Xenopus tropicalis: one gene and its partner. Each later gene encodes a partner of the first gene's protein in a complex. Links are inferred from orthologs where the notes say so. Each region holds a gene or a part of one and is shown on either strand. Other genes may lie near its edges. The genes, in order: cnnm3 and ptp4a2.

Region 1 (4,522 bases):
AGGCAGCATTACTTTGGGTACAACGCTATCAATGAATGGGTACTAATCACTGAAATAATTATCTCTATTAAGCTAATGGGCACTACAACAAGGAATTCTGTAAATATGTTTAAAAATTCTCTCTCTATGACTTTCTCAATAGCCTGTCTTGGAACATTGCCTGCTGGGCTGCAGGTCGTAGCAGGTTTCTGCGGGGGGGATGCATGTTATTCATTGTATTCATTGGTTGCTTGTTAGATTACTTTTGGCAAATTGTAATCACCTTGTTCCTGTCTCCAGATTGAGGGGTTTCGTGTTCAAGGGGTAGCTTACCTTTAAATTAACTTTTAGTGTGACAGTGTAGACAGTGGTTATCTGAGGTCATTTGCAATTGGTCATCTTTTTGTTCAGCAACAGTTTAGCATTTCAGCTATCTGGTTGCTAGGGCCGATTTACCTTGACAATTGGAAAATGAATAGAAAAGGGGAAAAAAATAGAAAGAACAATACTCTAAATCAATTAAAAAAAAAAAAAAATATGGGACATTGTGAATTGTCCAACCTACTGAAAGTTAAAGGTGAACTGTCCTGTTTAAGATTTAGGGGGCTGTGCGCTACCTGTAACAGTGTAACTGAATGCGCATGAGAGAAGGCAAGCACTAGGCCTAACTGTTTGAGAGCAAGGTGAACATGATTGGCCAACAAGCAATCAGTGAATATTGTCATTTATTTTACAATAAATTTCCTGTCCTGCAGAAGAAGGGCTCCTGAAAGAGGCATAAGGGGAACTAAGACTTACATACTACTATGAATTTTTCATTAAATTTACAAATGTTCCTTGTTTTAGTAAGCTGTAGTTTATTACATATAACTATTGAGAGAGTTCCCCTTTAATGTACTAAGATTTCACAATTTTTTTTTTTTGTATGGATACCCATGTTCCCTTTGTACTTGTATCCTCTCAACCATAGGCGTATTGGCCTTATCTAATGACCTGCTGTTGCTTGAAGGAAAAAAGTGAACAAAGAACTTCTAGTATTGCACAAGTATTCAGTCTCGGTTCCTGGGAATTCCTGTCGTAAACACACATCCCCTCTGATTGCCGTGCAGGTTCCAACAAGTTAAACTTGCATTTTTTGGATGAAACTGACCTCCTTTTTACCTGCTCTATCTTTTTTTTGGTTTCCATAAAAGACCTTTTGCCTGCTAAATAAGTGCTGAATACAGTATCTGCACAAGCCATAGATGTGTTTTGCTTTAGGGTCAGCAGCAGCTGCTGTGTGTAGGGTGGCAGGCTGGGCCCTCCTAATCAGGGATTGGGAAATAACACTCTGTACTATTGGGGGGGGGGGGGGGGGGGGCTTTCTGCACAAATAAGGGAATTGTTTGCAAATATTTATTTATTTTTGGTTTTTCCCTTTTTTTTTTTTGCCTTTTACAGATGGAAAGAATGGTACGATTTTTGGATGGCTGTATATTCTAAATTGTTTAATTATTAAAGAGTTTATTATTTAATGGGTTTGTGTGCTTTTTGACATTTACATTGGAGAAGCCCTCTATTGCCCCCCCCCCCTTAATTTCCCAACAACAGCAAAGAAACTCCCTGGGGCAGCCCTGCTCCCCCACTGTGGCCGTGTGATTGGGCGCTCGACTTCTGCTCTCTGTCACCCATTGCTGACAAACAAAACGTTCCTTGCTTGGAATGCCCATGCACCCAGTTATGGCAGCTGAGCAGGGCTGTCCTGGGGGAATTATGGTGCTTATGGGGTTTGTTGTTAGGCTACTAAATGGGGCCCCTGGTTAAAGTATGAGATTCAGCCATTGCTTTATATAGAACAGTGTAGGAAATGGTTTATCAGTGCATGTGAAAGGTATGTTATATTAAGATTTTGTATTGATCTTTATATAGACTTCAACCTTATGCAGGCTCATATGCTCCTTATAGGATTAGCTTCTGGAGGTGAGAGAGGCAGTGAAATCTGAGATTTAGGGTGTATTCGTGAGCAGACATGAGAAACTACAACACCCATAATGCTAAAGGTTTAGTAGGAGTACGGTGGGAGGGGCTGACGTTCACTGTAAGCTATCGTATTACTGTGCCTAAGAGGGACAGGTCACAGTGCCCGAGGGGCCCAGTTCCTGAGGAGAAGTGGAGCCGTTGAACGCCGCAGAACTAACAAAAGATTTAAATCTTCCACAGCTTTTTGTCCTTGTTTACAGTTGCTTACAGTGTAGCTCCGCCCTCTGCCGCACCTCCTCCATTTTATAGGCTCGACTTATTCACCGAGCTTCTCACTGGCTGAGCGAATGCGGCGGCGTTCACCTGATTGGTTGAGCTGTCAAAGGCACAGAAGAGGCTGTTCTGCCTCTTCCAACATGGCGGTAGCCGTGGTTGGGTTGCTGCTTCTGGCCGGGTTCGGTGACACCGGGGTGGCTTTTGCGCTTGAAGATGGCAGCGTTGAAGCCCAGGTGTTAGGGCTACGGCTGGAGGAGGGAGCTGGCGTGTCAATGAGCGGCGGGCTGATCAGAGCTCGCCCTGGTTCGTCCTTCCGCCTCCGTCTTTATGGATCGGGGCTGCGAAATGACACCTGGCCCTGGGTCTCCATTGGCAGCCCCGGAAGCAAGACATGTTCTCCAGAGCCAGACTCGCCCCTCCAACTGCTGGAAGAGTTCCGAGTGTGCAGCGAGCACTCTGGCCTGGTCACTGTCCGGGCTCTCAATGAGAGTAAGGGCAGAGGCCTCCTGTACCCCCTCTGTACCCGCCAAGGAAACAGCTGGGCTCCATTCCCCGGCGGAGACACACTCATTACCGTGCTGGGGGGCGATGAGGAGGAAGAGAAGCCCCCCTGGCCAGGAGATGAACAACAGTGTACTTTGGGCTCCCTCAGTTCCCGCCTGCTTAGTTTTAGGGATGAAACTCCCTCTGTAGCACCCCCTGAGACTAATGCAAGGCAGTATTTGGCTTCCTGGCTCCTGGCTCTTCTTATTGTCCTGTGTATCCTTTTCTCTGGCTTGCTCAGGGGGCTGCAGCTCAGCACTCTGGCCCTAGAACCCTCAGAGCTTGGCCTGTTGCGGGATTGGGGAACCCCCAGTGAAAGACATGGGGCCACTCGGTTGGACCCCCTGCGGACGCGCTGGGGTGGGTACACACTGATCTCCATGTTGGCCCTTTGCTGCCTTACTAACTCAGCTGTGGCTGTTCTTCTTTACCATGCTATAGGTTCAATCCCTGCAGCTATTTTCTCAGCAGCTGGACTGCTTTTATTGGCTGGTGAGGCGCTACCAGCTGCAGTAAGTTCTCGCTGGGGGCTCATTCTAGCACCCAAGTGCCTGTGGCTTACCCATTTTTTCATGTTCCTCGCTGGGCTCCTCTCATTCCCTCTGTCATGGCTTCTGGAGGCAGCATTTGGGCAGGATCCTAGCTGCTGCCGACAAAGAGTCCGTATATTGGAAATGGCCCGATGTGGGGACCCTTACAGTGAATTAGTAAGAGATGAATTCAGCAAGGGGGCCCTGAGGAATCGGACAGTAGAGGACATACTGACCCCTGTGGTTGAATGCTTTATGCTTCCCAGTGATGCCTTGTTAGACTTCAACACCATGTCCAGCATCATGGAGAGTGGCTATACCCGCATCCCAGTATATGAAAACGAGCGCTCCAACATCGTGGATATCCTCTATGCCAAGGACCTGGCTTTTGTGGACCCACAAGACTGCACTCCACTGAACTACATCACTCGCTTTTACAGCCACCCTGTCCACTTTGTGTTTAGCGACACCAAACTGGACGCTGTGCTGGAGGAGTTCAAGAAGGGTGAGGGGTTGTGGTATGCAAGAGTCGTATGAGAATGTGAGCAAGCCTGTGTGTCCTCTCTAGGTTCTTCACTCATAACAAGGGTACAGATATATTAATAAACTGTAAAAATTAGGATAGCTAGGATATCAAGTAAGTGTTTAGCCTAAATGTCACCCTGAGTGGCCTTTACACTGGCCACTCCTTTGAGGGACATCTTAAATATGACAATAGCATCCCATATATTGTATTCAGCGAATTTAATGCAAGTATAATTGTATAACGTTTGCCTATGTAGCTTGGGCAAAATATATATATATTGTCTGTATTTTTTTGTCACTGTGTTTTAAATGCCACCTGGTAATTCTGCCTCTGTGACTTGGTTTCATAGGCAAGTCCCACATGGCCATTGTACAGAAAGTGAATAACGAGGGAGAAGGAGATCCGTTCTATGAAGTTATGGGGCTGGTAACCCTCGAAGATGTCATAGAAGAGATCATAAAATCAGAAATTTTGGACGAGTCTGAAGACTGCAGTAAGGAGATTCCTATTTATCTGATTAGACATTTATACCGATATTAAATATAGGAATTGTTTATAGCTGCGCTTGAGAACAGAGCTCGGTACTTTTTTAAACTGGGAGTTGATTGTAGGTCAGACATGCTGTTATAATGTAGATCATATTAGATGTCATCATGACCCACCTATGCTGATATTTGTTGCACCTTTAATTCTTCCACAGAGCGCAAAG
Region 2 (4,331 bases), on another chromosome or scaffold:
ACACACATATGTGTGTGTGTGGCAACTTTTTTCAATAAATCAACTAGTGTAATGTTTTTAACTCATTTGTTTAAATGGGTACTTAGTATCAAGTTTTAGGTGGGGAAAAACAGATCATGTTTTTGATCAAATGAATGCAGGAATATTGGAAATTCAAAAAGGTTCACAAATTTTCCAGCACCATTGTATTAGACCAGTAATCCCTAACCATTGGCTTATAAGCAACATGTTGCTTACCAACCCCTTGGATGTTTCCCAAACAAGTTATTTTTGAATTTCTGACTTGGTGGCAAGTTTTGTTTGAATAAAAACAAGGTTTACTACAGGTATGGGACCTGTTATCCAGAATGCTCGGGACCTGGGGTATTCCGGATAAGAGGTCTTTCAGTAATTCGGATCTCCTACCTTTAAGTCTACTTAAAAAAAATATTTAAACAGTAATTAAATCCAATAGGATTGTTTTGGCTTCAATAAGGATTTATTATATCTTAGTTGGGATCAATTACAAGGTAGTGTTTTATTATTACAGAGAAAAAGGAAACCATTTTTTAAAATGTGAATTATTTGATTATTGAGTCTATGGGAGATGGCCTTTCCGTAATTCAGAACTTTCTGGATAATTGGTTTCTGGATAATTCAAGTTGTCAGTGTTTCCCTTATGACTGCAAAATTGGTATCATGTTTGGTTGTTTGACATATGCGTGTGGCCACCAGGCATAGGCTGAACTAATTTGTGCCCGAAAAATAGCAGCCAATCAGTATGAAGCAAACATCTTATTGGTTGCTATGGGTTACTGCTCTTGGGCATACTTTTTTTGCTTTTTATTATATATATGTTCCATGTGCACAATTTAATGTATCGTCATCATTTATTTATATAGTGCCAGCAAGTTATGCAGCGCTTTACATTAACTTTTCAGAATGAGTACACAGAAAAAATAGCTTCTAAATTACCAGTGTAAGTTTGATATTTTAAAAAAATTAAATAAAGCTGAATTTGCAAAGTAAGCCTTCTTAACCTACAAATACTAATTTGCAGTGTTCTTCTGTCTCAAAGGTTTCCTCTTGGAGTGGACGTGGCATATTTATGGCGATTCGGCGCATAAGAACAGAATACTGCCAGGCTCAGCACGGCTTTGGCGCGGACAAGTGAGCTGAAAAGTCTGCCTCTTTGAGCCCACCCTCCAATCATCAGCCTTTTGCCAGCTGCAGTAAAGCATATGGGAGTTACTATTTATTTTCATACCTTGAGACCATCTTGCTTTTGCAAATTAATTTTTCCTTTTGTGAAGGGAAGACTTTTACAAAGTGGGGACTAAGTGCGGAGGCCATCTCTGCAGTTATTTTTTCTTTTCCAAATGAGTGCCTCCTTGCCATAAAGACCATTGGTCCATTTTTTTTTTTTTAATTTCTTTTTCATTTCCCTTCCATAAGTTATGTAAGAAAATTCCATTGGATGCTGTACTGCATCCCTCACAAAGTGCTTGATTGCATTAAAACCATCGCTGGGACTTTTGCAATAAGTCTTTTTTTTTTTTTTCTTCCTGCAAAAAAATTTTTTTTTTTCTTTATAGAAATTTTTAATATTTTTTGCTGTGAATTTTTCAGGATTTTTTCCCAAGAAATATCCTTATTTTTTTAATCTGATCAAAATGAACCGTCCAGCTCCAGTAGAAATCTCTCATGAGTGCATGCGTTTTCTTATTACCCATAATCCAACCAATGCCACACTCAACAAGTTCACAGAGGTAAGAATCTACATGCAGTATCGTCTAGGCAGTTGGCTATACCAATGAACTCAAGCAGTTCTAATACAAACCACAGAAAAAATGTTTTGTTTTCATTATTCAGTGAGGTATTCCATTCAGGAAGGATTTTTTTCCTCAATTGACCCTGCATTAGTAGATGGGTCTATATTGATTTACTGGAATTTGTGGCTAATGGTAACCGCTACTATAATACTTAAAGGGATGGTTCACCTTTAATTTAACTTTTAGCATGTCTTAGAATGAACAATTCTAAGCAACTTTACACCTGGTCTTTATTATTTGTTTCTTATGGTTTTTGAATTATTAGCCTTTTTCTTTAAAAACTCTGTAGTTTTGAAGAGGGGGTCACTGACCCCGACAGCCAAAAACTATTGCTCTGTGAGGCTACAGTTTTATTGTTATTGTTACTTTTTATAACTTTTTTCTATTAAGTCCCTCTCCTATTCATATATCAGTCTCTTATTCAAGCCACTCCCTGGTTGCTAAGGAGAACAACTCCTATAAAATATGATTCCCAAAAAATTGTGAAAAAAATATGCCGTTAGTTACCACATATTGCAAATAGTGATGAGTGAATAAACGTAAAAACTGCGCCATAAGGAAGAGGTGAAGGGGGTCTAGGCAATGATAGTTAAGGGGGCTTTTTCCACCCAATGGTATAGTTCTCCTTTAACCTGTTTCATACGTTAATTGTACCTGCAGCAGTGCACCTCCCAAGAAGCATTGTTCTTTAGAAGTACAACAGGTATAGGGTCTCTTACCTCAGAAAGCTTGAATTATGAAAATGTAGTTATTTGAGCAGAAAATTCAATATCTTTTCCTCCTTTTTACTGTTTTATTACCCTTTCTCTTTAGTAATAATACAGTACCTCGTATTTGATGGTAACTAAGCTGCATGAATCCATATTGATGGAAAAGCAATCCTATTGGGCTTATTAAAATGTTTAAAAGTTTTTTTTTGTAGGCTTATGGTATGGAAATACCTTTGGAAAAATCCCACGTCTTTGCAGGTGCAAAGTTTTAATCATCACAACCTAAAAATAATGTTATCAGAATGCCCCATGTGCAAATATCCCATTTTGTTTTTCATGTTTTAGGTTGATTTTATTTTATCACTTTTTTGTTTGCAGAAAAGTGCACTTCAGCAAGACAGTAATTGCTTTTAAAGTGCATTGTATTTTTGTGTTCCTTTAATGTTTTATAGCTTGGGTTTTAATTACTCAAATGTAATCTTCACCATGTTTTTCATATTGCAGGAGCTAAAGAAATATGGAGTTACCACCCTTGTGAGAGTATGCGATGCAACATATGATAAAGCACCGGTAGAAAAGGAAGGGATACAGGTTTTAGTAAGTATACTACTAGCCTACTGACTTACTCCGGTGAGGAGCTTAAGTTGAATTTTGTATTCATTTGTTTAATTGAAGTTTATCAGTGCCACATGTCTGTGGTACCCTGTGAAATGAAGAATATGGCTCGCCCTGTGTGAATTTCAAAATTAAATATAAATAAATATGTTTGTGTCTTAGATAAACTGATTGCAATGCAGGATTCTGCTGGAGAAGCTCTATTAACTTGTTAATGTTTTCTCATGACAGTATTGCAGTAAGACTTATATCAAATGAGGGGCAGCCTCTGAGAAAATGCAGGCAGAGAAAAGTCTATTCACTCCACTCCGTCTCTACAATGACAGGCCTGTTTGCAGACACGTGGAGCAGATATCTGTGCGAAAACACAAAACTATGTGTGTTTACATGATATCCACTCCCTTTGTCTGTACACAGTCCAATGCTGTCTATCGGTGAGAGACACTGAGCAGAGGGGAGCACGTGGGCACTACCTGGAGAGAGTGCAGGCAGAGAGAAGTTGACTCTGCACTTCATGTGACATTAGCCTATGGGCGATGACACACGGGATAATTTGTCTCCGCGCAATGTCATCCCACCGGCTGGAATGTAAATCGGTGGTGGGATGGCATACGTGGCGCCGCAACAACGGAGACTTGTCACGGCTCAACTAATTTGTACCCCTGCCTTAAGGCTTCTGAGCTAGTGGCCCAGAGATGAATTAAATATGAATATATATGTGGTGTTTCCAGTCCAGCAGGGACTGATGTAAATTATGTATAACCTGTGTAAATTGCTGTGTAATATGTCACCGCTAAATAAAGTATTATAATAATAATTATATAACATTAACATATGCCAATCTCCCTTTTGCTCTTTGCAAAATTTTTCTGCTCCACTGACAGAGCCCAGCTTTATAAGCTTCCTTCTTACTTCAAGTTGTCAGTGATCAGACACTGATTTAATGCATTCACTCACCTTGTGGAAAATATACTGGAGCATTAGCTCTAATCAGATTGCCAAATGTAAGAACATGTTTACTTATATTTAGTTAATATCCCCTTTAACATATTCAGTTCAAGTCTTTTTGCAAGTATCAATTTAAAGGAATTTTATGGCTACTATAACAGCATTGTGAATGTATATATTACACTTGTGTGGATATTTTTGTAGGTTTGTGAAAGCAAGCCTTTAATTAGTGCCTCTTCACCTGCTG

What was found.
Region 2: the proteins of cnnm3 (region 1) and ptp4a2 are in contact, whole or in part, in a crystal structure (PDB 5K25), measured with the Homo sapiens proteins. The link is inferred for Xenopus tropicalis from reciprocal best matches to the Homo sapiens genes CNNM3 and PTP4A2. Residues at the interface, in NP_060093.3 of Homo sapiens: Leu390, His391, Phe392, Val393, Phe394, Asp396, Thr397, Glu405, Ala414, Gln417, Val419, Glu424, Gly425, Asp426, Pro427, Phe428, Tyr429; in NP_001356788.1 of Homo sapiens: Met1, Asn2, Arg3, Pro4, Asp69, Gly70, Cys101, Ala103, Leu105, Gly106, Arg107, Arg134, Arg135, Gly136, Ala137, Phe138, Asn139, Lys141, Gln142.

What each region holds. Positions count from the first base shown.
Region 1 is NC_030679.2:125,259,454-125,263,975, forward strand, and holds the start of cnnm3 (metal transporter CNNM3), read left to right. Parts: upstream 1-1,690; 5' UTR 1,691-2,285; coding exon 2,286-3,792; intron 3,793-4,162; coding exon 4,163-4,306; intron 4,307-4,513; coding exon 4,514-4,522. UniProt on the Homo sapiens protein: Probable metal transporter.
Region 2 is NC_030678.2:86,676,336-86,680,666, forward strand, and holds the start of ptp4a2 (protein tyrosine phosphatase type IVA 2), read left to right. Parts: upstream 1-1,302; 5' UTR 1,303-1,652; coding exon 1,653-1,748; intron 1,749-3,025; coding exon 3,026-3,118; intron 3,119-4,331.